7 linked regions of the Callithrix jacchus genome follow. Each later gene encodes a partner of the first gene's protein in a complex. Links are inferred from orthologs where the notes say so. Each region holds a gene or a part of one and is shown in the gene's direction. Other genes may lie near its edges.

Region 1 (4,161 bases):
TTGCCTCCAGTGTTCTGTTACATCAGGACGTCTTGATGTGTATCCATTTTTATCCTTCGTGTAAGGAGTGCAGCATGCTCTTTTGTGAACATTTTGGGGAATTTTCCAGCATTATTTATTGAAGATTTTGCCCTTTATCATTCCTTTCTTTCTCACCTTTTATCTTTTTGTTGTACTTTCTGAGATTTATCTTTCATTACCTGTTCTGTTGAGATTTTAACTTCCACTATTGTGACTTTAATTTCCAAGTACTCTTTTTTATTTTCTGGATGTTTCTTTTTTATGCTCTGTGTTCCCCCACCCAGTCCCCCAGTGGATGAAGTATTCATTAAAGACACCGAGTTTGGATTTTTTTCCTTGATGTTTTGTTTCCTTGCTGAGTCAGTTTTCCTAAAATTACTTTTATTATTTTTGTCTCAGTGTTTCTTATTAAATACTGTCCTCAAATGTCTGGTACTCCTTGGCTACCTAGTTAACGTTTTTATGAGTGTAGGACACTTAAATACCACTTAAATCCTTTCTGTGTTGATAGGGCTTGCAGATCTCAAATTTCATTGTAGATTTATCTGGTTTCTCTATTTCACTAGATGAAAGGATGTTAGTATCCTTCTTTCTTTCCACTTAGTCTGTCAGATTCCCCAGAGAAGATGCATCCAGTCTCCTGCTTGGAGGGCATCAGGGAACTTCCATTTGCCAGTGTTCTGGAAGTTAAGATTTGGAAGATGGCTGGAGCCCTTAGTATTTAATGAATATTGAACCTACTCTTAATTCCCATTTTCAAAATGATATTCTTACTGTTAACTATATGTGGTATTCCCCAGTCCAGACACTTGTACAAAGACTTCTGTTCTGGTGAGGTGAAAGAGGAGAATTACTGTCTTCTTTTTTTTTTCTCCTTTTGAGATGGGGTCTCACTCTGTTGACCAGGCAGGAGAGCAGTGGCACAATCCGGGCTCACTGCATTCTCGACCCCCTGGGCTTGAGATCTTCCCACCTCAGCCTCTTGAGTGGCTGGGATTACAGGTGCACACCATTATACCCAGCTAATTTAAATAATTTTTTTATAGAGATGAGGTCTCTCCATGTTGCCCAAGCTGGTCTCAAACTCCTGGGCTCAAACAGTTCACCTGCCTTGGTCTCCCAAAGTGCTATTACAGGCATGAACCACTGCACCCCACTGAGAATTACTATCTTGGTGTTGGGAGGGGAGGGATTGGTCCTGGATATCTGCTATCCTTCCTTTCTCTGTCTCTCTCTCTCTTTTTTTTTTTGAGACGGAGTTTCGCTCTTGTTACCCAGGCTGGAGTGCAATGGCGCAATCTCGGCTCACCGCAACCTCCGCCTCCTGGGTTCAGGCAATTCTCCTGCCTCAGCCTCCTGAGTAGCTGGGATTACAGGCACGCACCACCGTGCCCGGCTAATTTTTTGTAATTTTTTTAGTAGAGACGGGGTTTCACCATGTTGACCAGGATGGTCTCGATCTGTTGACCTCGTGATCCACCCGCCTCGGCCTCCCAAAGTGCTGGGATTACAGGCTTGAGCCACCGCGCCCGGCCCCTCTCTCTCTTTTTTAATTCCTGCCTTAATTCTCACTTCCAGAGGTATTTGGAACCTAAACGTTTTGGGTATGTTTGGTATAAATGCAATTGCTTCTGTTCTTTACCTGCTGCTAGTTCCGTATCAACTCTATCAGCCTTCCAGCTTCTAAACCTTTGTTGCTGTGGTCACCTCTCTCTCTATCTTTGTAAAAATCCCTTGTTGTTTTAATGCACTGTTCAAAGAAGATAGAGCTAAATGTCTTTATTGATTTCACTATCTTTAACCAGAAGTCCAGGCTGCCCTTTTCCCCTTGGTCATAGGTAAGTTGTGTGATTTGTTGGAGGTGTCAAGTATGTACTGTGTGTTAGTGGAGAAAATATTTTAGTTTTCTTTGGATTAAGAGACCAAAATATCTTAATTGTCTGCATGTGTTTATATGTAGAGGTCAGAGTCATTAATTTCAAAACGTATCATTTTGCCCTAGTGAAGTATTTCTGCTTCAATTCTTATAGGTTCGGTTTTCCAGTTCGGCAGCAGCACTACAAATTTCAACTTCACAAACAACAATCCATCAGGAGTGTTCACATTTGGTGCAAATTCTAGCACACCTGCAGCCTCAGCCCAGCCTTCAGGCTCGGGGGGCTTTCCGTTTAACCCGTCTCCAGCATTTACAGTGGGGTAAGAGAATTTTTTATTGAAATGGAGAATTTACATTGGTTAGGGTATGTACATGTATATATTTTGTTTTCAAAAGTTACCAAGATCCAGTATGGTTTGGGTAAAATTAAATATGTTCTCCAACATAAATTGACCATACTGCAATTCTGGAGGATTATATTATAGTTTGAGAAAAGAAACAGTAATGCGTGTGTTAGGTATAGCAGAAAATGTATATAACAGTTGCTGCTGCTCATGGTAAATGTTAGGATTCGGAAATTTTGCTCCGAGCATCATACCACATTATGAAGCTTTTATTTTTTACAGGTCAAATGGGAAAAATGTGTTCTCATCTTCTGGAACTGCAGTCCCTGGCCGCAAGATAAAGACTGCTGTTAGACGCAGAAAATAAAGGTCACATTGGTGTTATACGCAATTTTAACAGCTCGTGCCTGCTTTCAGATACTGAGTTGGACTTTGCGCTAGGGTTATCTGAAGTCAGATCTGCCTAAGGACTTCTTTAATTTTGGATTTTTCCTCCTTTCCCTTTCTTTACAGAAGCCCCACCCTGCTTCATCTACCCTCTTTTTAAAAATAATAGCTAGACTGGTGACTGATTCTGCAGCAAAAATATTTTATGATCCAGCAGATTATTCACTGATTTGACATAGTCTGGCTGTTCCCAGGAATGGAGCCTGCACGGCAAATGGCTTTGTATAGAACCTCTTTGTCTACACCATTATGTGCGCTGATAAGCGTTTACGGAACGCGTTGAAATTGTAATTATATCTGAGGAATTCTGTATAGATTAGAATTCTGTATAGATTAGAGAATGTTGAAATGGATGATTTCTATGCTGAGTTTGTGCTGGTGTATGTGTGAAGTGAGTGAGTTGGGTGTATTGTGCACTAAACTTTTCTGATAGAGGAAGCCTGATTAAAGAATGGTCCGTGCTAAGGACTTGTTAGATCTAGTTCATTCTCCATTTAATAATTACATGCTATTTCTATATTTTCATTCTTCTATCACCTGTCTTGCCTTTTTCATTATTTTATTATGAAACTTGTGTAAATACAATTTTGTTTCTGTACTTTTTTGGCATAACATAAATCTGTGAACTTGAAATTTGAATTTTGTGTTAGAGATTTTTTTGTTGTTTGTTTAGTCTTGTCTCAGATTTTATTATATAAGTCCCATTATTCAAAGTTGCCTAAATCCATTTGGAAATCTTTAAAAAAAATTGGAGATTCTTAAAGTTGAATTTATTGGCTTTTCTGATCCAGTTTTGTTTGGACCAAAAACCAGTATTGTACAAAGTATTAAGCATATATTTTTATATTTACTAAAATGGACTGTGGTGACTTTGGATAATAAGGAAAAGTTTAATATTAAAGCCATGTTTATTACAGTATAATTAACATGTTAAACCATGGGATAAATGCCATCAATAAAAAATTATGACATACTTTTTGTTCTAGTATTACCTCATAATGAAGGTACACAGTCTTATTGGGACAGGACTATTAAAAGGTTAACAGTGGCTCATTAGAAGATAAATGCCAAAAAGTACATTGACATGATTCAGAAAACTCCTAAGAGAAGGGGAAAGTAATTTGCACATCAATTTACATACCTTTAAAAAACAGTTGAAAGTAAACACACATCCATTTCACTTTGTGCTTGTATCTTCCTTGGTAAGTTACTGGATAGTGTAAGTATTATTTTATTGTTTTTTTTAACTGGATTGTTTTCCTGTGGTTCACAAAAGAATTCTTGGAACAGTATTTGGTAATTTTATTTTTCAGTTTGAATGTAGTTATTTTGTGCTCAGTTTTAATTTGCTGAACTTCTGGTTGGTTGAAGTTTCTTTCTTTTCCAAGATGGAGTCTCTCCCTATAGCCCAGGCTGTGGTGCAGTGGTGTGATCTTAGTTCACTGCAACCTCCGCCTCCCGGGTTCAAGCAAT
Region 2 (3,500 bases), on another chromosome or scaffold:
CCCAAAGTGCTGGGATTATAGGCGTGAGCCACCACGCCTGGCCAATTACATATTTTTAAGCCCTGTCTCACTTTGTCATCCAGACTGGTATACAGTGGCACAGGCCTCCACCTCCTGGGCTTGAGTGGTCTTCCTATCTCAGCCCCCTAAGTAGCTGGGACTACAGGTACACACCATGCTTGGCCAATTTTTTGTAGGGATGGGCTTTTCACCATGTTGTCTTGAGCTCAAGTGATTCTCCAGCCTTGGCCTCCTAACTTGCTGGGATTATAGGAGTGAGCCACCCTGCCCAGCCTATCCTTCCTTTTTAAAATGACTTTGAAAAAATGAAAAACAATGTCTCTTGAACCTCACAACTAAGAATAGTGATACTAAATTTAGCTATTAATTCTAGGTTAAGTATTACCTTGTGAATTTTGAAGGTTATTAATATCAATCTTAAAAATTGGATCAAGGGGCCAGGTGCGGTGACTCATGCCTGTAATCCCAGCACTTTGGAAGCCCAAGGCAGGCGGATCACTTGAGGTCAGGAGTTTGAGACCAGCCTCGCCAACATGGTGAAACCCCATTTCTGCTAAAATTACAAAAATTAGCCGGGCATGGTGGTGCATGCCTGTAATCCCAGCTACTTGGGAGGCTGAGGCAGGAGAATCACTTGAACCCAGGAGGCAGAGGTAGCAGTGAGCTGAGACCATGCCACTGCATTCCAGCCTGGGCGACAGAGTAGACTCCATCTCAAAAAAAAAAATTTTTGGATCAAGGCCAGCTTAGCTGCTCATTGTAATTTAGAGTCAGTTCCTTAGTATCTGTAAGCTTAGCCTCGTGAGTTTTGATATCCAAGTATAATTTGCGAAACAGACATCCCACAATAACTTGTGGCACTTGAGTTTTAGCCAGTTCTCATTCTGTTATAACCTGATTCTCTTGCTTGTTATAACCTGGCCTAAGAAACTTTTGTGTTCTGAATGCATTGGTCAGATAATTTTTATTTCCAGTATATAGCAGATAAATTTGGTATAGTTTAAGAAGCAAAATTTCTTTCAAAGCACAGTGGAATGTTTTGCATTCTGTTTGTAATCATAAAAGGAGACTGGTTTGGTTGAAGTGAAATCCTAGCTTCTGTTTTATGTTCCTTTTCTATTCTGTTCCTCATTTGCTCTTGTAGCCTAACTGAGTCCCCATTCAAAGTTCACTTAGAAAAACTCAGTTTGCGACAAAGGAAGCCAGATGAAGACATGAAATTATACCAGACACCTCTGGAGCTCAAATTAAAACACAGCACTGTCCATGTGGATGAACTGTGTCCTCTCATTGTCCCCAATCCGGGAGTTGCTGTCATTCATGACTATGCAGATTGGGTTAAAGAAGCATCAGGAGACTTACCCGAAGCACAAAGTGAGTATGAACTATGTTTCTAATCTTTGATGTCTCAGTCATGGGGTGTTACTGGATGTTCACCGGGGGGGTGAATTTCCTGACACCAATCTAGTAGGTGAATGCCTGTGCTTGTCATTTTCTGAGGTTGAGTTTAAGCAGATTCCCAAGCAAGAAAAAATTGTCACTATGTTCTTGTCACTTTGTTCTTGTACCCGTTAATGTACAAATTCTTCAACAAAAAATTGTAGCCAGTCAAATCTTTGGATTTATAAAATTGCATTTCTTACCCAACCCAGAAAACATAGGGAGAGAGATGCATTCCTTCTTGCTTTTCTAAATCCTATCCATTCTTCCATGTCCAGCTCAAGTACTATTGATCTTCTCAACAACTTTGTTGTAATTCTTCTTCCTTGCTTCTCTGTTACCTTTCTCTATTGTGACCATGTTTTTCTGAATTAATACTTTGATAAAGGGATTTTCTAATTTGTTAGTATTTCAAACAGTGTTTAGCAAATCACCTTTATTGAAAAATGGGTTGTTTTAGAATGTCTTATGCCACACATTTTGGGATTTATGTTCATTCAGTTCTTTGTATTTACTTAACCATCTCATCATCTTTTCAAATGTGTAAGTTATTTTACCAATACATACTTGTAAGTGGCTTAAATGATAAAGTACTTTTTTAGATTGAATTTTGTAGACAGAATTTTATCAAATTAGATATCATCTGAGATGACATTAGTCATAATTAGGCTTGGGGAACCTGTTTAACAGTTACATTTGTTGGCCAGGCACGGTGGCTCACACCTGTAATCCTAGCACTTTGGAAGGCTGAGGTGGGTGGATCACCTGAGGTCAGGAGTTCAAGACCAGCCTGGCCATCATGGTGAAACCCCATCTTTAAATTAAAAAGAAAAACAGTTACATTTGTTATATAAGTACCACATACATGTGTGAGCAGGCATTTATGAATACCATGTACTTCAGGAAATTGTAAGACAAAGCTGAGTGAGGTAGAGACAGATTGAGGGTAATTGACTTGAGTGGTTGTTTGAGATGTCTGTTAATTTATGTATTTTTAACATCACAATTAGAAAGATGCCTTCTGTGAAGCTGTTGTAAGACTTTGTCTCATAACAGTTTTTCTGTTCCTGCCTTAGTTGTGAAGCACTGGAGCCTGACATGGACATTATGTGAAGCATTATGGGGCCACCTGAAGGAGCTTGACAGCCAGCTAGATGAACCCAATAAATACATTCAAATTCTAGAGCGGCGAAGAGCTTTCTCCCGCTGGCTATCCCATACTGCCACACCGCAAATTGAAGAGGAAGTCTCCTTAACCCAAAAAAACAGCCCTGTGGAGGCTGTATTCAGCTACCTCACAGGCAAAAGGATCAGTGAAGCCTGCTCTCTGGCCCAGCAGTCAGGTAGGGAAAGAATATGGTCTTTCTCTGCACCCCTTTCCCCTTCCTACTGAATGAATGCCTTCTATCCCTCCTCCCTAATTGTGGATTTCTCTTCGGCTTCTAGCCTGTGAGTGTTAATTGTGGACTTCCCAGGAAGATTGCTGGTTCCTGTAGAGTAGGAACCATTACTTTTTTTTTTTTTTTTGGAGACAGAGTTTTGCTCTTGTTGCCCAGGCCGGAATGCAGTGCTATGATCTTGGCCCACTGCAGCCTCGTTCTCCCGGGTTCAAGCAATTCTCCTGCCTCAGCCCCCTGAGTAGCTGAGATTACAGGCGCCCGCTACCATGCCTGGCTAATTTTTGTATTTTAGTAGAGACGGGATTTCACCATGTTGGTCAGGCTGGTCTCAAACTCCTGACCTCAGGTGGTTCATCTGCCTCTGCCTCCCAAAGTGCAGGAATTACAGGCACGAACCAACGCACCCAGCCAAACTACGTCTTCTGATTCTCTTTTTAAGACCTTAAACATTGTTTATTAAAATTTAAATTTTATGTTATATTACATTTGTAATAAAACTAGAAAACATAAATAAGGTATAAGTCAAAATCACCCAAATCCTGTGACTACTACCCACTGCAAGCATTTTAATGTGCAATTTGTACTTAGCTCTTTACTCTGTATTATATACAAATTTGTGCACAGTGTGACATATACATG
Region 3 (4,142 bases), on another chromosome or scaffold:
GAAATATATATAGATCTGGTGGACTATTCCTTTTTTTTTTTTTTTGAGACAAGGGTCAAACTCTGGTGCCCATGATGGAATGCAGTGGCGCTATCATAGTTAATTGTAAACTGGAACTCTTGGCCTCGAGCCTCCCAAAGTGCTGGGGCTACAGGTTTGAGCCACTGTGCCGGGCAAATGGCTATTACTATAGACACAGTTGATCCTTAAATAACATGGTTTGAACTGCCTGGGTCCACTTATAAGCCGACTTAAAATACAGTATTCGAGAGGCCCGCGTTTAGAGAGTACCCTCTCTAAGAGTTCTGCAGGACCGAGTGCGGGATTTGAGAATGCGCGGATTTTTGTTTTGTTTTTAGATGAAGTTTTACTCTCGCCCAGGCTGGAGTGCAGTGGCGCAATCTCAGCTCACTGCAACTTCCGCCTCCCACGTTCAGGCGATTCTCCTGCCTCAGCCTCCGGTGTAGCTGGGATTACAGGCGCCCGCCACTACACCCAGGTAATTTTTTGTATTTTTTATTTTTTGAGACAGAGTTTCGTTCTTATTGCCCAGGCCGGAGTGCAATGGTGTGATCTCGGCTCACTGCAACCTCTGCCTTTCGGGTTCAAGCCATTCTCCTGCCTCAGCCTCCCGAATAACGGGATTGCAGGCGCCCGCCAAATTTTTTTTATTTTTTATTTTTAGTAGAGACGGTGTTTCGCCATATTGGCTAGGCTGGTCGCGAACTCCCGACCTCAGGTGATCCGCCCGCCTAGGCCTCCCAAAGTGCTGGGCTTACAGGCTTGAGCCACAGCGCCCGGAAGAATGCGTGGATTTTGGTATAAGCAGGTGGTTCCGGAACCAATCCTCTGCCGACGGATGTGTTTAAAAAACTGTAATTGTTCAAAATTTAGTATTTGTGGTCTACTTTTTCATATATGCACTTTAAAATTTATTATTTCTTTTAAAAGGTATTAATTTAAAAATGTATGCTTCGTATTCACACACATGTCCAACGCAACGTATTTAACCAGTCATCTCCAGAAACGTTGTTCCACTTTACAAGCTCACAAAATCGGCCGCAGTGCTTTTTTCTTCCAATGCATAGAGCATTTATAATTTAAAACAAGCAACCAAAAGGCTTAAGAGCTCAGCACGCAAACTTTTATCTGTTGGAAACCTACTACCTTAGCGTGATGGACGCTGGCGCCGGCTACCCAAGACCAGGCTCCGCGACCAGGAAGTTGCCAGGAGCTCCGCTATGTGCGGCGCGAGCGCCGACGTCGCCAACGTGGCGCACAGTGCTGACGCATACGCAAGTGCGTTAGACTGGTCCTCCGCCGGCGACGGCACTGCGTCACTGGCTTGAAGGCGCTTTGCTCTTGGAACTGGCGACCGTTGCGGGGTTGAGTGTTTGACTCCCGCGCCTCGGAAGCCAGCTTGGCGGCGCGATGAGGCGCAGCAAGGCCGACGTGGAGCGGTACATCGCCTCGGTCCAGGGCTCTGCCCCGTCGCCTCGAGAGGTGAGTGGGTCTCGAAGAAACCTACTGTCTCGACCTGGCCCGGCTGCGGCCTCCCGCGGCTCGGGCGTCATGGCTCCTGACAAGCACTGCTCCGTGGCGCGCTCTCTTGAGGCGCTGGCCGGCCAGCGCGGCCCTGTGGGCGGCGTGGCGCTGGCGAGTGCAGAGGAGTCCTGGCTGGGCCGCGGCGGGCCGGCGCTTCCTCTTTCTTCCGGCCTGTTCCGGACGGTCCTCGCTCGTGGGCCCACCCTGGCCCTGGCTTTCTGGCCGGTCGCGCACCGCTGGGACCGGCGCGGCCTAGTTCTCTGGGGCTTGGGCACCAAAGTCTCGGATGCTGTATCCGGCGGGGTTCTTTCCATCTCCCGGACATTTACTTTACATGCTGCGGCGGAGGTCGTACCTCCTTGGCCTGGTGGAACCCAGTGAGGACTGACGCAGCTCCGGGGTGAGCTTTGGCGACTCTGACGGGTGACATCTCAACGCAGACATTTGCCACGGCTCGACAGCGCAAATGATACGGGAAGTCCCCTTGCTTTAAGGCTGAGGTGTTTGTCGCTGTCCCTTTATAAGGGTCTAGCTCCACTCTTCATACTCACCCCTGTCCCCCGAACCCAGAACACTTCGGTAGCTGCTTTTGTGTTTTGTTTAAAAAAAAAAAAAAAATTCTAGATTTCTTGCAAATTTATGCCTTAGAATTTTTAACTTTTTCCACAGATGTTCTTAGGGTATTTTTCCTTTTTAAAGGTAAATAATATGATATCTTTTGGATTCAGTAAGACTTTAGTATTTGGATGTAAAGAGTGATGGAAGAAGCTATTTAAAGGTGAATGTGCACAGAATCTTGAGTCAGTTTGCTTTGGCTTGATGAATAACCACAGCGCTGTCTTTTGTAAGTTGGATATTTGGTACAGGTTACACTATTCATCCATAGATGGAGTTGTAACTGATAGAATTTGATAGGGTGATCCATTTTAAACATTTAGGGTTGTGTGTGCTGGACACATAGTATTAAAATGTTAGCTGCAAGTCACTATTTTTATTGTTGATGTCGAAAGGATTTAGCGGGGCGTGGTGGCTCACATCTGTAATCCCACCACTTTGGGAGGCCGAGGCAGGCAGATCACCTAAGGTTAGGAGTTCGAGACCAGCCTGGCTGACATGGTGAAACCCCGTCTCTACTAAAAATACAAAATTAGCCGGGTGTAGTGATACACGCTTGTAATCCCAGTTAGGAGGCTGAGGCAGGAGAATCTCTTGAACCCAGGAGGCGGGGGTTGCAGTAGCTGAGATCTGGCCTTTGCACTCTGGCCTGGGCGCAAGAGCGAAACTCCATCTCAAAAAGTAAATAAATAAAAGGATATTTATTCAAAGTCTCTACTGTGCAAGGGCCTAGGAGAATAAAGATCTGTAAGGAAGTTTTTTTTAAAAAAGAACGGCTTGCGGGCGGGCCCGGTGGCGTATGCTTGTAATCCCAGCACTTTGGGAGGCCTACCGGCGGATTGCCTGAGGTCAGGAGTTTGGGACCAGCCTGGCTAACATGGTGGTCCCAACTCTGTCTCGACTAAAAATAAAATTAGTCAGGCGTGGTGCACGCCTGTAGTCCGATCTACTCAGGAGGCTGAGGCAGGAGAATCGAGGCGGAGGGAGACTCCGTTAAACAAACGTAATGGAAAGCCCTGGGTGATCCTGATTATTATAGTAGCACAGTTGTGTCTTTTATAATAACTAAGCATAGATTACCTTATTTTGCACTTCAGCAACCCTGTGGAAATTGAGACCTGTAGAGATTAAAGATACTTGAACCCTGTGGATATTGAGAACTGTGGAGATTAAAGATACTTGTTCAGGGTCAAATAGGTAGCGCAGCAGAATTTTGGCATTGGGTCCTGGGAACACTGAAGTAAGTTACAGTCTATTCCTCCAGAGAAGAGGACTATCTATTCCTACTTGTACATTGTAATTTCAAACTGCTAGCATAGTCATAAATGTGGACATAGTGATAGAGTCTAAAACAGACCTTATTGAGGGTACCTGTAACTCCTGAAATTACACTTTAATTTTTACGTTATTTTTTTTTTTTTGAGATGGGATCGATCTCTTGTCATTTGCTGGATGCAGTGGTGCTATCTCGGCTTACTGCAATGTCCGCCTCCCGAACTCAAGCCATCCTTCTACCTCAGTCTCCTGAGTAGTTGGTACCACAAGTGCACCCATGACACCTGCTATTTATTTATTTTTTGCATTTTTGGTAGAAACTGGGTTTCACCATGTTGCCCAGGCTGTTCTTGAACTCCAGGGCTCACATGATTCCCCTGCTTCCACCTCCCAAAGTGTTGGGATTACAGGCGTGAGCCACTGCACAGGGCATTAATAATAATAATAATTATTATTATTTTGAGACAAGGTCTTTTTTTGTCTCCCAGGCTGGAGTGCTGTGGCGGGATCATGACTCACTGCAGGATTGACCTCCTGGGCTCTGTCCATCCTCCCACATTAGCCTCCCAGGTAGCTGAGACTACAGGCATGTCAGCTACAGGCATGTGCAACCATGCCTGGCTAACTTTTTTCTTTTTTTTTTGAGATGGAGTCTCGCTCTGTTGGCCAGGCTGGAGTGCAGTGGTGTGATCTTCGCTCGCTGCAAC
Region 4 (4,295 bases), on another chromosome or scaffold:
CAATTTGAACAATTTCCTTTCAAACATTGTTCTCAAACTTTATCTTTACTAATTTCCTCTTTCTAATTTCAATTATACAATTTTCTTCTTCATTTCTAACATCTTCAGATAAATGCTTGGTTTATTTTTATCCTTTCTTCTTTAAAATAATGTTCTCCTATAGCTTGGTCTGTATCTTAGAATGTTAACATATAGTTTTTTTCAATATCATTAGGTTCTAGTAACTGTAATTTCTCTTTCCTTTTAGAACTCAAAGGCGATTTATAAAAGTACCTTAAAATTTACAGTATGAACAAAATAAAAGTTCCACTTTGATTTTTAGGGGTGCTAAACCTTAACTAATTTTTAGCTTGTTCTATCATACTATCCTTACTTATGCAAATTTAGCTCATCTTTCTAGGTCTAATATTTATGCCACCTCCTTTAAGAAGCCTATCTTGTATTCTCTCTCTTCTCTAAACCATTATATACATCCCTTAAACATGTAATGTTTATACTATCCTCTGCCTTCAACTCCCATCCTCAGGCTATTTTATTCACGTTTATGAGATCTGCTGTTTAGCTAAGTATTTTGCGGGTTTTCAAAAGATTCCACTCAATTTACAGAGCACCTATGCACCATTTTACTAGGTACAAAGAAAAGCCTTAAACAGATAATAATCATGGCCTTCAAGAAATTGAACCTAGTAAGAGAGATGAATAAGAAGACATTCAAGTGAGCTTCAAGAGACTTGGTTTGGTAGTAAAGACAGTCTCATGTGTATAAACAGCTTACAGCACTGTAAAATAAGAGAGAGAAACGAATAAATCCGTTTTAAACAGTTCAAAGGAGGAAACCGAAAGGGAAGGGTGGTTTAGATACTGCCTCACCATAAATAGCCTAATAATCTAACCCTGTGATAATCCAAGTATAGTCACAGTACCTGCCTCAGAATCACCTGGAAGGCTTGTGAGGGGTAAAAACGAAGATTCATACCTACTGAAATTAGAATGGGGAAAGGGGCATTTAAATCTGCATTTTAAACACTTTCCCCAGGTACTGAGGTCATCCAAAGTTTTAGAACAGAGCAGAGCCAAGTTTCGCAGATCTTGTTCCTCAGCTACTCCCTCCTAGCCGGAGGGTGGCCTGCAGCGTGTCCCTTCCCTTCCCTCCGTCGGAGCTGTGTGTCCAGTTTCCGAACGTCGGCCCCACAGACCTCAGGGCTTCAAGCAAGACACGACTAGCACCCACCCACCGCGGGCACATCCAGCAGGGATCAGAGGCCGGACCCGCAAAGGATTCGGGGAAAAAGGCATCGAGCCAATCCGAAGGGCGAGAGCAGCCCGAGAAATGGGTGGGTGAAGGACAGAAACATTTTTCTCTGATTGACGTAAAACGTACCCAATGAAAACAGAGAATTGTGAAGCTTCCGCCCGAATAGGCAGAACCGTGGAGATTTTTCAACCAATCCAGCTCAAAAGTGTCTATGTTGTGGGAGGTCCCTTAGGCCGCTAAGGTCGTTCGTGTCTGTTGAACGGCTGTGAAAGTCTTGCTGTCTTGGGTAGGGGGTTAAAATCGTTCTTGAGAGGAACGTCTCTGTCCGAAGAGATAATGAGTTTAGCTCTGAGGTCGGTAATAAGGAGGCGGCAGTGTTCTCCACACCCCGGAGCGGGACGCAGGGAGGGTGTGGAAGGGAGGCCGTTTGGGGCCGAGGCGAAGTAGGGGATGCAGTTTCGGGACGCGGGAAAGGAGCCTAGGGTAGCTTACCCGGACCAGTCACCCTCTGGGCCCTGGTGCCTTGCAGGGATCGAGTCCAGTGCGTTTCTACTGAGGAAGTTATTTCTGTCAGCGCGTAGGGCTTTGGACTGCCAAAAAGATGGGCTTAGTTGCGAGCGCGGAGGGAATGAAATATCGCGAGGCTTTTACTCGTTTCTGTGAGATACCAGGCCGCGGAACATCCCTTCATTCAATTCGTGTAGCTGGCCAGGGCCCCGCCTCGGCTGCTTCGCTGCTAATGCAAATCACCCACCTATAAATTTTGGCAATAACACAAAACTCCTTCTTCCTCATTTCTCAGGGCGTTGCCTTATGGTGTAGTTGGAGACCCATTTTAGTGAATTTAATTGGCAAACTGTCACTTGGATTTCCTCAGCTTCTTGCATTTCTTTGCCTTTCAGTTCTAACCTCTAACCCTCTGTATGTTGCCCTCTCACCCTTTGTAGAAGTTGTACCGTAAAACTATATACTTAGGACAATAAAAATGTTCCATGTTCTGCTAAGGGATAATCGTACCCTTGAATGGGGTCAGGGGGTGGGTCGGTTCTGGACTTGGCCTCTAGAAGTCTCAGGAAGGAAAAGACTGACCCCAGGAATACCCAAATTTGTGTCAAGTCAGGTTTCATGAAAGGAAGCTTCATCAGCTTTGTCATACTGCACCTACTGGTCACTTCCTGGCCTTTTTTTTTTTTTTTTTCCTAGCTTTCAGAGACCAAAATGACTTTCAAATGCAGCTAGATACGTGTTTTAAATAGAGTCAACTGGTTTTTACATGATAATGTGTTATCGAATTATAGGTTTCAAACTTGTTCTTATACCAGTGTTGCATCCCCCTGTGAAAATTTGGAGCATGTTTAGATGGGCAACTCTTAAAGGAAAATATTTCTGGCTTTAAAAAAATTACTTTTTTTCTTTAAGGCTTTCCAGAGTTTGTTTATGAGAAGTTTAACCTCCAGTTTACATGTTAAGTGAGACAAGACTCTTCACATTTTTATATAGAATGAAGCACAAATATTGTATTTTTTTGGCATCTAATATTTGTCATGTTTAGACTCATTAATATTTTGAATGATTTGTTAATATTGATGGAGGAAATGACAAATTGCCAAACTGTTAGAAAGGTGTAATCTAAAAACATTTTTAACCAACAATGCTAAAATACTAAGTTAATTCGGTTGTATGTTTTTGTAGTACTTTTACGAACTTAATTATAAGAGCTATCAAAAGTAAACCGACATATAGTGACTGTCAACTATGAATTTTGGTTTCGTTTGGAGTTATTTTTCTTTAACAGTCTTAGAATAATGTGAGTATTTTGTTTTTTGGTTAGAGTTGGTTGGAGTTTCAGATATAAAAGCAATGTTACTTATTCACAGTTCTTGTTTTTTCCACAGTAACATTAGTGGGAATAAATAAAAAGCTGGGAAAAGGAAAAGTATGGTCCTCATTTATTTTACTAATCTTTAACAATCTTTAGTTTTGGGAAGTTCAGATTTATAGCAATTTAGATTATGGAGTAAACAGGGCATTGACTCATAAAGGGAAAGTTTCCCTATCTTTCTCCAAAGTACTTTCTTTTTTAAAATTTAGAAAATAATTATTGGCTAATTTCTGTTAGCAAAGAGAATTAAAGTAGACTTTAATTCTCCTTTAATTTAAGGATTTTTTTCTTTCCATTTCATAGAAGCGAGCTTGTAGTAGATAAAACAAAGAGGAAAAAAAGACGAGAATTGTCTGAGGAACAGAAACAAGAAATTAAAGATGCTTTTGAACTATTTGATACAGACAAAGATGAAGCAATAGATTACCATGAATTAAAGGTAATGGTATACTTTAAAATATTTGTTTTTATGTTAAAATGATTTGCATTTTGACAGTTGCTTTACATTGCATTTCTAAATAATTATTTTGACTAAACTGGTTTGGAACTATGAAGGCATTTTAAGCATTCCTAGTTAGTTGCTATAATAAAACTGAACAGAACCCCTAACAGTTTTTAGAAAGTCTTTTTCACATGATAAAATGAATAGTATTTTAAATGTAAAAATATATTCCTAGGGAAGGTGCTTATTTTTCACTGACATAATTAAAGGATTTCAAACTGGAATTTAAACTATTCTTACCATATTCTTTTCACTGTTTTGTTTTTGTTTTTGTTTTGTTTCTTGGTGACTCACTGTATTCAGATTGAGGGAGTGTTGTCTCTTAATCTTAAAAATTGGATTTGTTAGTAACATAGTCTCAATCCACTTTCTCTGGTGCAAATTTAAGTGCTGTTTGATGTTGACACATGCTGATGGGTAAAATGTCAACTTTAATACCTAAAATGTCAAGATGTGGGGAGAGATTTGTAAATTATATTTGTCGAGGTATAGGGAGAGATTTGGGTTTAGGGTAGAATGGGACTTTTAGCACAGTGGGAAAGATAGCATTTTCAGATTTTTAATAGCCTTAATGGATAGGTGAATATAAGTATGTGTTTTAATTTTTCTAATTTTGCAAGGGATTTTTAAGCATAAGAATTCCAAGTAGGGGGTAG
Region 5 (3,500 bases), on another chromosome or scaffold:
TATTGCTCACCCCCACTCTTATGGGATACCACCTCTGGCCTAACTTTCCTTCTTGCCTTGGTGTCTGAATCCGCAGCATCGCCCTGAGCAACTGGTGGTTTGTGGCCCACCTGACGGACCTGCTGGACCACTGCAAACTCCTCCAGTCACACAACCTCTAGTAAGTGGCCTGGCAGCGTGGATCCTCCTCTCCTCACCACCAATGCCTAGAAGGGAGGTTGGGCTGAGGAAGGCGGCCCTGAACAGGCCAGGCCAGGAGTCTTGGTCTTTTGTTACATTTTATTTCAGTTTTGGTTCCAACATGAGAGAGTGCCTCCTGCTGGAGTACGCCTCGGGACTGTTCGCTCATCCCAGGTAGGAAGGAACCCATGGGTGTGTACTGTGCTGGGTGCTCTTCAGCATGTGGGTGTCATTGGAGCTTGGACTATTCTCTCCCAGTTGGCTCCGTAAAGGCTCTGGAAGGGTCAGTGGAGGGGAGCCTCAGGTGACAGTCCCCAGAGCCAAAGTAGCACTTCATGTTTGTCCTCCTGGACCTCTGCAGCCTGTGGCAGCTGGGAGTGGATTACTTTGATTACTGCCCTGAGCTGGGCCGAGTCTCCTTGGAGTTGCACATTGAGCGGATACCTCTGAACACCGAGCAGAAAGCCCTCAAGGTGCTGCGGATCTGTGAGCAGCGGCAGATGACTGAACAAGGTGAGCTGGCCCAACTCCCAGCCTACTGTGTGGGACACGGAAGTCAGGAGACCCTGAGGTCATACTTTGTGCCTACCCTGCCTACCCCGCGCCATCCCCCTCTTCCCCAGCCACATGGGAGAGGTGGGGCTATGGATGCCAAGAGGTAAGCTGGGAGATAGGATCATTATTTGGGAGGGACAAGAAAGGTAGGGATCCACTGGAACCCAGACAAAATCTACACGCCACCTGCAAAGGCCTGAGCTGCCTCTTCTCTCACACACTTGATTCCACGATGTCAAAGCTAGGGTTGGTAACTGTTTCCCCGTCCAGGTGGGTTGCTGTTGCTAGCTCAGCCTGACTCAGTGGGGAACAGTGCTGGAGGTGGCTTCAGAAAAGCATAGAGAGTGGAATGAGGATGACCAAGTCTGCCCCTTCCTTTCTCCCCTCACTGTTGATAAAAACATGAGTTACTACCCTACAGAGAGGCAGTTGTATGTTCGAGACCATTTCTGAAAGCATATGGTTTTCATGACCCACAGGAAGATGGGATTTGAGGTATCTAAAGAGGTAACAAAAGGGCTGACTTGTAGAGAGAAACAGAAATCGTCCTTTGCTACCCCTGAAGCCACACACTTACAGGGCCAGTCCTGCTGTGATGGGCACCAACACTATTAATCAGCCCCTGAGTTTCCAGCTCTGCTGACTCAGCTGTGTTTAGAGCCCACAGAGAGGCTTGGGGTGGAGTGAGGCTGTGAGGCCACTCCAGTCCCCACAGGGCTCAGGAATGGATTTGTGGGGTGAAAGTATTCACCTTTTCTCTTTTCCCCTGCAAAGTTCGCAGCATTTGTAAGATCTTAGCCATGAAAGCCGTCCGCAACAATCGCCTGGGTTCTGCCCTCTCTTGGAGCATCCGCGCTAAGGATGCCGCCTTTGCCACGCTTGTGTCAGACCGGTGGGTGCCACTGGTGTTAGCTTCCCAGGGACTGGGCAGGTGAGGTAGGCTTGAGACTACTGCTCTGATCTCTGGGCCGGGCCTTGCAGGTTCCTCAGGGATTACTGTGAGCGAGGCTGCTTTTCTGATTTGGATCTCATCGACAACCTGGGGCCAGCCATGATGCTCAGTGACCGACTGACATTCCTGGGTGAGTGTCTGGGTTTTGTGCCCCATGCTTTGGGTAAAAGTGGGTAGTTGGGGAGATTGGAGGGATCACACCAGACTTCTCCCAGCACTTCCTTCCTATATTCCCATTGCTTCGGTGGTCCCAGAAATGTCCTCCATCATGCCTAGGATCATGAGTTTGGCTGTAGTATCTCCTTAGTGCCTCTTTTCCCCTCCCTCCCTTCCCTTTCTTTTCTGTTCTCTTTCCTTACTTCCTTTCTTACACTGTGACCCAGGCTGCCAGGCTGGAGTACAGTGGTGTGATCTCAGCTCACTGCAACCTCCACCTCCCAACTTCAAGCAATTCTTGTGCCTCAGCCCCCCTCCTCCCCACTAGCTGGGACTACAGGCATGTGGCATCACACTTGGCTAATTTTTGTATTTTAGTAGAGATGGGGTTTCACCATGTTGGCCAGGCTGATCTCAAACTCCAGATCTCAGCTGATCTGCCCACCTCAGCCTCCCAAAGTGCTAGGATTACAGGCATGAGCCACTGCACCTGGCCTAGCCAATCCCCGCCTTTTTTTTTTTTTTTTTTTTTTGAGATGGAGTCTTGCTCTGTTGCCCAGGCTGGAGTGCAGTGACATGATCTTGGCTCACCACGACCTCTGCTTCCCAGGTTCAAGTGATTCTCCTGCCTCAGCCTCCTGAGTATCTGAGACTACAGCAAGCACATGCCACCATGCTGAGCTAATTTTTGTATTTTTAGTAGCAACGAGGTTTGACTATGTTGGCCAGGCTGGTCTCAGAACTCCTGACCTCGTAATCTGCCCGCCTTGACCTCCCAGTGTGCTGGATTACAGGTGTCAGCCATTGCGCCCAGTTGTCAGTCTCTTAACCCATGACTCGTTACGTATTTTGACACTGACGTTTCCCCAGATTTGACTCTTTGCATTTCATTCGAAGTCTGTTTTGAACACTCTTGGTCTGCATCTCATTGGCCTGTTCAGAGACAGCTCTGGAAATATCTCTTGCTTGCTGGAGTGGCTTGTCTGGGGTTTTTCAAATCGTTAGGGCCAGGGCGACTTTTGTAGGTGTCACTTGAGCGATTTGGGGGAATATGCAGGTGATCTAGCGCTCTTGTTTTGCTATAGGAAAGTATCGCGAGTTCCACCGTGTGTATGGGGAGAAGCGTTTTGCCGATGCAGCTTCACTCCTTCTGTCCTTGATGACGTCTCAGATTGCCCCTCGGTCTTTCTGGATGACTCTGCTGACAGATGCCCTGCCCCTTTTGGAACAGAAACAGGTGAAGGTTGCAGCAGCGCTGGTTTGCTTTGCTTGTCAGTCCCTGCTGGAGCTTAGTGTGTAGCTCTTGCCGACATGCATGTTTCTCCCAGTCGTTCTGCCTGCATGCATGTATTCCCCTCAGCACCCTCTGGAATTCCATACTCACATGGGAAATATCGCTTAGTTTGAAATGAGGTCTTCCTATACAAAGCGCACTCTTTCCAAAGGGCATGAAAGGAAGAACGTCTGAACATGCGAACGTGGGCCCCTGGCTGGGGAGCAGCCAAGCAAGGCAGTTTCTCTTCCCTAGGTGATTTTTTCAGCAGAACAGACGTATGAGCTGATGCAGTGTCTGGAGGACTTGACTTCAGGAAGACCAGTGCATGGAGGACCCGACACCCAGCAGTGCCAGGTCATTAACTTTTGGGTTGATGGTTCC
Region 6 (3,500 bases), on another chromosome or scaffold:
AATTGAGAAGGTGGAGTATTAGGATAATTGGATATTGTTTGTTCATTTATTTGCTCTTTTTTAAAGTCAAAGTTTCAGTCTGTCACCCAAGCTGGAGTACAGTAGCACAGTCATAGCTTACTGCAACCTTGAACTCCTAGCTCCCATCTCAGCTTCCCAAGTGGCTAGGATTACAGGCGGGCATCACCATGCCTGGCTAATTTTTTTTTTTTTATAGAGATAGGGTCTTTCTATGTCGCCCAGGCTCATCTCGTACTCCTGGGCTGAAGAAATCCTTCTATCTTGGCCTCCCAGGATGCTGGAATTATAGGTATGAGCCGCTGTACCTGGCCCTGATACTGAAATCATTAAGAATTATGGCAAGAGTAGTATGGGAGAGAGTGACAGTGGGCCAGCAGCCAAAATCAACTGCAATGAGCATGGGTAGCAGGTGGTATCTGATTCCATGAGCTTCAGAGCTGAGTGGTTCGGGTAGGAGAGGAGGAACAGTGACCTAGAATGCCAGTGGGGAGCAAGGACATCTGTATTTTTCCCTTGAGGCCCCACTGCAAAGGGCATGGTAGAGAAAACTCTGGGGTCACTGCCCTCACGGGAGATCCAGGATCCAAATTATACCATAAGGCAAGAAAACGAAGGAATTATTCAGAGATGAAATTGAGGATCCAGAAAATTATGCTAATGCCATGAGTTATCAGAAGCAAAGTAGCTCTGGGAAATCATCAGACATGAAAAGGTACTTACATCCTTGGGAGTAGATAAGATGTGCCTTGGAAGAAAGTGTATAGTGAGAGAAGATGATCCAGGATCCAGGTTTGAGGAAATCTAGTCTATATAGGGGTCAGGTCAAGGAGAAGGGGAAGAAATGGACAGGAATGTGGGAGGAAAACTGGGAGAGGGTAGTACCATAGGATTCATGAGAAGAGTTTGTTTTAAAAAGAAAGGCTTCTGTAGTGTGGAGGAAAAAAAAAAAGAATAAAAAATAAAAAGGAAGGCAAGATTAAGTATGTGGAATGGTGCTGAGAGATCAAGTAAGAGGGCCAGGCACTGTGGCTCACGCCTGTAATCCCAGCGCTTTGGGAGGCTTAGGCGGTTGGATCATCTGAGGTCAGGAGTTTGACACCAGCCAGGCCAACATGGTGAAACCCCGTCTCTACTAAAAATACAAAAATTAGCCAAGCATAGTGGCAAGTGCCTGTAGTCCCAGCTACTCAGGAGGCTGAGGCAAGAGAATCGCTTGAACCCTGGAAGCAGAGGTTGCAGTGAGCTGAGATCACTCCATTGCACTCCAGCCTGGGCAACAAGAGCAAAACTCCATCTCAAAAAAAAAAAGATCAAGTAAGAGAAAGACTGAAGAGTCCACTGGAATTGGTATATTGACTTTGACAAGAAGAGGGTGTGGCAGAGGCAAAAGCCAGATTTAGTAGGCTTAAGAGTAGGAGTGATGTGAGGAAATAAGAGAAAGGTTGGCCATGAAGGGGAATGGAGAGGATGGGATAACTGGATTGTGAGTGAGGGGAGGCCAGAAAACAGCTTATTTGAATGGTGATGGAAGGCCCTGGAAGCAGGAGAGGCAGATACAGGAGAAATATGCAGAGAAAGCCAGAAGTTAGCCTTTAGTTGCTGGAAGAAGCCTTCTTTTTTGGAAAGGATGCAGGTGATACGGTAGATATGGCAATGGGAAATTAAGGCACTCCCAGCAATGCTGCGTGCTATGGTTCTAGACCTACACCCGGCAGAGTTGCACCTGAAGAAGGTTACCTGCATCCCAGCACACTTCTGGTTTTGTTTAAGCACAGTATGTATTGTCATTTCTTCTTCAGGCATGTGATATACCATGAGTTATTTTCTGTCACTTTGAAGCTCTTTTTTTAAGGATTGATAGGTTTTTAAAAAAATTTTTTAAATGGCGCAATCTCAGCTCATTGCAACCTCCACCTCCTGGGTTCAGGCAATCCTCCTGCCTCAGCCTCCTGAGTAGCCGGGATTACAGGCACGCGCCACCACGCCCAGCTAATTTTTTGTATTTTTAGTAGAGACGGGGTTTCACCATGTTGACCTGGATGGTCTCGATCTCTTGACCTCGTGATCCACCCGCCGCGGCCTCCCAAAGTGCTGGGATTACGGGCTTGAGCCACCACGCCCGGCCCTGGTTTTTAAAAATTTTTAACAAAATGTTCTTTTTTTCTGGTTCTGCTTTAAACTGTGTTTTCCACTGGGCTGTGTATTCCTTAGCAAGATCTGATAAATATTAAAACTCTTTTAGCTAGGCTGGGTTTGGTGGCTCACGCCTTTAATCCCAGCACTTTGGGAGGCCAGGCAGGCGGATCATGAGATCAGACCTTCGAGACCAGCCTAGTCTGATATATTTCAGTGCAACAGTCAATGAGAAAGAAAAGCATAAAGTTTTCAAACAAATGTCTCTTTTTTAACAGGAAGACCTCTGGAGATACATTGGAGCTGGTGGAGGAGTCACTGGACGTAAATCTGTTGAATAATGCTGTTCGCCTAAAATTCCAAAATTGCAATGTCTTACCTGGAGGGGTTTATGTCTCTGAGACTCAGAATCATGTAATAATCCTGATGTTAACCAATCAAACAGTGCACAGGTTACTTTTACCACACCCTTCCCGGATGTATAGGAGTGTAAGTTGGCTAAGTACAATACCTTTTATTTCCCAAATTACTCTGGGTGTCACAGATCGAGTGCTAGAGCAATATCCTTTGGAACCGAAGGAAATTTGGATTCTTGTTATCCCTCACCAAGCATACTTTGATAGTTATCACTTAAAATCATCAGGGATACATTTTAAGTTGAGAATTAGTTTTCATTAAAAAGAATAGCTTTCTTCTTAAGCTTGACAGTTTTTTACTTTAAAAACTTCTTTAGCAATAGAGAGAAACAGCAAAATTCTGGTTATTTTGATTTAATAGATTTTTCTTTTTAATTACTCAACAGGAGTTGGTAGTTGAAAGTCAGATGCAGTCAATATTCACTGACATTGGAAAAGTTGATTTCACAGATCCTTGCAACTATCAATTAATTCCAGCAGTACCTGGAATATCTCCTAATTCTACCACCTCAACAGCCTGGCTTAGCAGTGATGGGGAGGCCCTGTTTGCTTTACCATGTGCTTCTGGGGGAATCTTTGTTCTTAAGCTACCTCCTTATGACATACCTGGTAAGAATGGGAACTGAGCATGGATTTAACTTTAAACAAGGAATGTTAACATTGAAACAGACCTTAAAAGTTCAACCTCCTCATCCAGTGCAGAGATTGCATCTCTTCTGCCCCAGAACTGGTTTGTTTGCCTGATGAGTCCCTAATGCTTTACTTTTATACAGTGGATAAGGAACTATAAAGCATTTGGAGCACGGAAAAACAAATAGACAAGTATAAGGCAGCCTATTCTAAATCCTGTAGTAAAGATGAGTTGCCTAATTGTCTGTCCTGAGATAAAGGCATTAAACATCATAATTAAATTAATTGAAACAAAGAAGT
Region 7 (3,500 bases), on another chromosome or scaffold:
AAATATATTTTTTCACATTGACCTGGTTAGAGGTTGTGGCTTTATGCTTAGAACATACTGTTTTTTTGCTTTGTATTTTTTTGTTTTCATAGTTGATAAAGTCCAAGGCTTGCTAGTTCCTATGAAATTCCCAATCCATCACCTGGCCTTGAGCTGTGATAACCTCACACTCTCTGTGTGCATGATGTCCGGTGAATATGGTTCCATTATTGCTTTTTTTGATGTTCGCACATTCTCCAATGAGGTAAGCTACTTTTATACTGTGATATCAACGTGAGAACCCTAAGCAGATTTCCCTGTGTTGAATTATAACTTGGAAGCTTCATAGTATAACCCTTGAAGTCTTTCTCTAGATTAAAATATGGGATTTAAAAAAAAAACACCTTAATTATAGAATCATAGATTTTTGAGACAGAAGGGACTTTAAGAAATTCTTTCATAACACTATCTGCCCCAAGGTGTTACCAGGAGACTTACATGACTTGCCCAAATTTGTAATAGATAATGTCAAAAATTCCTACACTTTGGGTCTTTAGCCTCATAATGCAATGTTCTTCCATTCCAAGCAGTTTAAGAATGATAATAGTAATAGTGTGTCAGACTCTGTACTAAGTGCTTTATATGTCTTGTCCCTTGTTCATGCCTACCACTGCCTTATGTAGTAGGTACTATTATCTTCATTTTATAGGTAGAGAAAGAGGCTCAGAGTTTAAGTAACTGTCCAAGGTCCTAACACTGTTAAGCAGAGCCAAGATTTTAATCTCATGTCTGCTATTTATTGGTTATTTTGCATTTGTGCATTCCCCTGCTGAGAGTCTCCCTGAACATGTTAGGATAACTGATTGCTGGCTGAGTGTGGTGGCTGACGCCTGTAATCCCAGCACTTTGAGGGGCTGAGGCAGGAGAACCACTTGAACTCGGGTGGTAGAGGTTGCAGTGAGCCAGGATTGCGCCACTGCACTCCAGCCTGGGTGACAGATGGAGATCCTGTCTCAAAAAAATGAATAATTGATTGCCATTTTCTAAGTTGTGTTAAAACTGTCTATAGCAAATAGATATATAAAGCTAAGTCTTTTTTTATGGTTATGGAGAAAAACTAATTTGAGATAACTTGTATATTCGGTAATTTCCATAGAATATTAAATGTCTCTGCATTTACTAATTTGTTAACTTATTCCACTTTTGCATATTTGTTTTAAAAGGCTAAACAGCAGAAACGCCCATTTGCCTATCATAAGCTTTTGAAAGATGCAGGAGGCATGGTGATTGATATGAAGTGGAATCCCACTGTCCCCTCCATGGTGGCAGTTTGTCTGGCTGATGGTAGTATTGCTGTCCTGCAAGTCACAGAAACAGTGAAAGTGTGTGCAACACTTCCTTCTACAGTAGCAGTAACCTCTGGTGAGTAACAAAGGCTCTCACACTGTAACATACAATAATGGCAGTCTACTTAAGAATTGATTTCTAGAAGTAAAAGTGGATAGCTTTTCGTCTTGTGTGTGTGTGTGTGTGTGTGTGTGTGTGTGTGTGTGGTTTTGTTTTTTGTTTTTTTAAACATGACAGGAGGTTAAGAGTGGAGGGTTTTTTGTGGAACTTTGAAAAAATAACCATTAAAAAAAAGAAAACAAAAAAAAAGAGTGGAGGTTTTTTTGGTTTTGGAGACAGTCTCACTCTGTCACCCAGGCTGGAGTGCAGTGGCATGATCTTGGCTCACTGCAGCCTTTACCTCCTGGGTCCAAGCAATTCTTGTGTCTTGGCTACCAAAAAGCTGGGATTATAGGCCTGTGCCACCATACCCAGCTAATTTTTTGTATTTTTTTGTAGAAACAGGGTTTCACCATGTTGGCCAGGCTGGTCTCAAACTCCTGACCTCAAATGATTTGCCCTCCTCCGCCTCCCATTACAGGTGTGAGTTGCTGCACCTGGCTAAGAGTATTCTTTATTCCCATACTTACTGTCCTTGAAGCCAAACAGCATACATAATTTAACCTGAATATACTTGGGTTTTGGAGAAATCTTTTGGTATAGCTGGTTTGAAACTGTTTTTGAGAATAATTGCTTCTGGATCTATAATGGTGATACTCCAAAAGTCACTTGTACCTTCATGGGGAGAGGCATTTGGAATATCAAATAGGAGCAGGAGAATGATTTCTTTCTTTCTTTTTTTTTAGACAGAGTCTGACTCTGTCACCCAGGCTGGAGTGCAGTGGCATGATCTTGGCTCACTGCAGCCTCCACCTCGCAGATCCAAGTGATTCTCGTGATTCTCCTGCCTCAGCCTCCAGTTTAACTGGGATTACAGGTGCATACCACCTTGCCCAGCTAATTTTTGTATTTTTTTAGTAAAGACATGGTTTCTCCATGTTGGCCAGGCTGGTCTTGAACTTCTGACCTCAGGTGATCATCTGCCTTGACTTCCCAAAGTGTTGGGATTACAGGCGTGATCAACCACGCCCAGCCAATGATTTCTTGATGTTTGGAAACCTTCTGTGTTCTCCTTGTCTTATCTAAAGACTACAGAGTTTTCTGTATTTTGCAGCTTTCTGGGCAGTAATTTATTGAAAAAGCATTTTTAGCTTTCAATTCAATAGCCCAGTGATAAATCAGTTGGCTTATATCCTTAAAATAATTTTACTTTTTTCCATTTTGTCGGGTGGGGATGATCCTACAATCTTCCATGGACTGACAGAGGAATGAGAAGTGATAATTAGCTGTGTGTGATAGATCTCATTGGTTTGCTCCATTTTCTTGTTTTTATTTGGTAACATTGTCTTTGCTCAGTGTGCTGGAGCCCCAAAGGAAAGCAGCTGGCAGTGGGAAAACAGAATGGAACTGTGGTCCAGTATCTTCCTGTAAGTTCATATCTTGAACTTTAGAATTTTTCTTAAGTCACCCACTTTTTTGGGGGTGGTTTCGGAGTATTGTTCTTGTTTTTCCTATTAAAAAGTAATGCTCATTGTAACAAATCCATCAGTGAATGAAGAGTGGAACCTCTTCCCTTCTCTCCCATAGTCCTCCCTCCAGAGGCACCCACTATGTTGTATAGACTAGGTGGCCTTCCAGGCTTTTCTGGATGTTATACAAACAATCTGTGTGTAGCTGCATTTTTTGTTTTGTTTTTTATGTAAAACATGATCATACTCTGTACTGTTCCCAACTTAATATTTTCAGTCCATTCCATAAAAACATAGCTTAAAGGCAAAGAGTTAGTGAAAAAGCTATGACAACCGTGCAGAATCACTCTGGGTTAAAGCACAGTATTTGTCTTTTAATTGAATCCATCTTAAAGAATTCGTTTCTCTAACTGTGGGCATCAAAGAAAATGGATACTCGTGTTGTTGCATGTGCCCTCTATCATCCTCCCTGTGATGTTCTTGAGATAATATTTGCAAATATCTTTCGATATCAATTGAGTTGCAAGGAACCCACATATGTCTATTGAGCCTGGACATGAAGGAGGGAGTCACAGGTGGCGCCAAGGCCTTTGTTGTGCCTTCTTC

Evidence for each region.
Region 2: NUP153 (region 1) and NUP98 share a complex: the UniProt entries of both Homo sapiens proteins name them as parts of the nuclear pore complex. The link is inferred for Callithrix jacchus from reciprocal best matches to the Homo sapiens genes NUP153 and NUP98.
Region 3: NUP153 (region 1) and RANBP2 share a complex: the UniProt entries of both Homo sapiens proteins name them as parts of the nuclear pore complex. The link is inferred for Callithrix jacchus from reciprocal best matches to the Homo sapiens genes NUP153 and RANBP2.
Region 4: NUP153 (region 1) and CETN3 share a complex: the UniProt entries of both Homo sapiens proteins name them as parts of the nuclear pore complex. The link is inferred for Callithrix jacchus from reciprocal best matches to the Homo sapiens genes NUP153 and CETN3.
Region 5: NUP153 (region 1) and NUP85 share a complex: the UniProt entries of both Homo sapiens proteins name them as parts of the nuclear pore complex. The link is inferred for Callithrix jacchus from reciprocal best matches to the Homo sapiens genes NUP153 and NUP85.
Region 6: NUP153 (region 1) and NUP160 share a complex: the UniProt entries of both Homo sapiens proteins name them as parts of the nuclear pore complex. The link is inferred for Callithrix jacchus from reciprocal best matches to the Homo sapiens genes NUP153 and NUP160.
Region 7: NUP153 (region 1) and NUP214 share a complex: the UniProt entries of both Homo sapiens proteins name them as parts of the nuclear pore complex. The link is inferred for Callithrix jacchus from reciprocal best matches to the Homo sapiens genes NUP153 and NUP214.

Annotation. Positions count from the first base shown.
Region 1 is NC_133505.1:13,137,983-13,142,143, forward strand, and holds the end of NUP153 (nuclear pore complex protein Nup153), read left to right. Parts: intron 1-2,051; coding exon 2,052-2,217; intron 2,218-2,523; coding exon 2,524-2,608; 3' UTR 2,609-3,661; downstream 3,662-4,161. UniProt on the Homo sapiens protein: Component of the nuclear pore complex (NPC), a complex required for the trafficking across the nuclear envelope. Functions as a scaffolding element in the nuclear phase of the NPC essential for normal nucleocytoplasmic transport of proteins and mRNAs.
Region 2 is NC_133511.1:69,136,430-69,139,929, reverse strand, and holds part of NUP98 (nuclear pore complex protein Nup98-Nup96), read left to right. Parts: intron 1-1,165; coding exon 1,166-1,395; intron 1,396-2,537; coding exon 2,538-2,804; intron 2,805-3,500. UniProt on the Homo sapiens protein: Plays a role in the nuclear pore complex (NPC) assembly and/or maintenance. NUP98 and NUP96 are involved in the bidirectional transport across the NPC. May anchor NUP153 and TPR to the NPC.
Region 3 is NC_133515.1:20,391,147-20,395,288, reverse strand, and holds the start of RANBP2 (E3 SUMO-protein ligase RanBP2), read left to right. Parts: upstream 1-1,342; 5' UTR 1,343-1,431; coding exon 1,432-1,503; intron 1,504-4,142. UniProt on the Homo sapiens protein: E3 SUMO-protein ligase which facilitates SUMO1 and SUMO2 conjugation by UBE2I. Involved in transport factor (Ran-GTP, karyopherin)-mediated protein import via the F-G repeat-containing domain which acts as a docking site for substrates.
Region 4 is NC_133503.1:120,374,677-120,378,971, forward strand, and holds the start of CETN3 (centrin-3), read left to right. Parts: upstream 1-1,495; 5' UTR 1,496-1,591; coding exon 1,592-1,608; intron 1,609-3,440; coding exon 3,441-3,576; intron 3,577-4,295. UniProt on the Homo sapiens protein: Plays a fundamental role in microtubule-organizing center structure and function. As a component of the TREX-2 complex, involved in the export of mRNAs to the cytoplasm through the nuclear pores.
Region 5 is NC_133506.1:131,157,853-131,161,352, forward strand, and holds part of NUP85 (nuclear pore complex protein Nup85), read left to right. Parts: intron 1-76; coding exon 77-160; intron 161-288; coding exon 289-354; intron 355-541; coding exon 542-693; intron 694-1,509; coding exon 1,510-1,627; intron 1,628-1,716; coding exon 1,717-1,817; intron 1,818-2,928; coding exon 2,929-3,080; intron 3,081-3,371; coding exon 3,372-3,473; intron 3,474-3,500. UniProt on the Homo sapiens protein: Essential component of the nuclear pore complex (NPC) that seems to be required for NPC assembly and maintenance. As part of the NPC Nup107-160 subcomplex plays a role in RNA export and in tethering NUP96/Nup98 and NUP153 to the nucleus.
Region 6 is NC_133511.1:112,898,790-112,902,289, reverse strand, and holds part of NUP160 (nuclear pore complex protein Nup160), read left to right. Parts: intron 1-2,432; coding exon 2,433-2,643; intron 2,644-2,956; coding exon 2,957-3,179; intron 3,180-3,500. UniProt on the Homo sapiens protein: Functions as a component of the nuclear pore complex (NPC). Involved in poly(A)+ RNA transport.
Region 7 is NC_133502.1:179,780,767-179,784,266, forward strand, and holds part of NUP214 (nuclear pore complex protein Nup214), read left to right. Parts: intron 1-92; coding exon 93-244; intron 245-1,202; coding exon 1,203-1,401; intron 1,402-2,781; coding exon 2,782-2,852; intron 2,853-3,500. UniProt on the Homo sapiens protein: Part of the nuclear pore complex. Has a critical role in nucleocytoplasmic transport.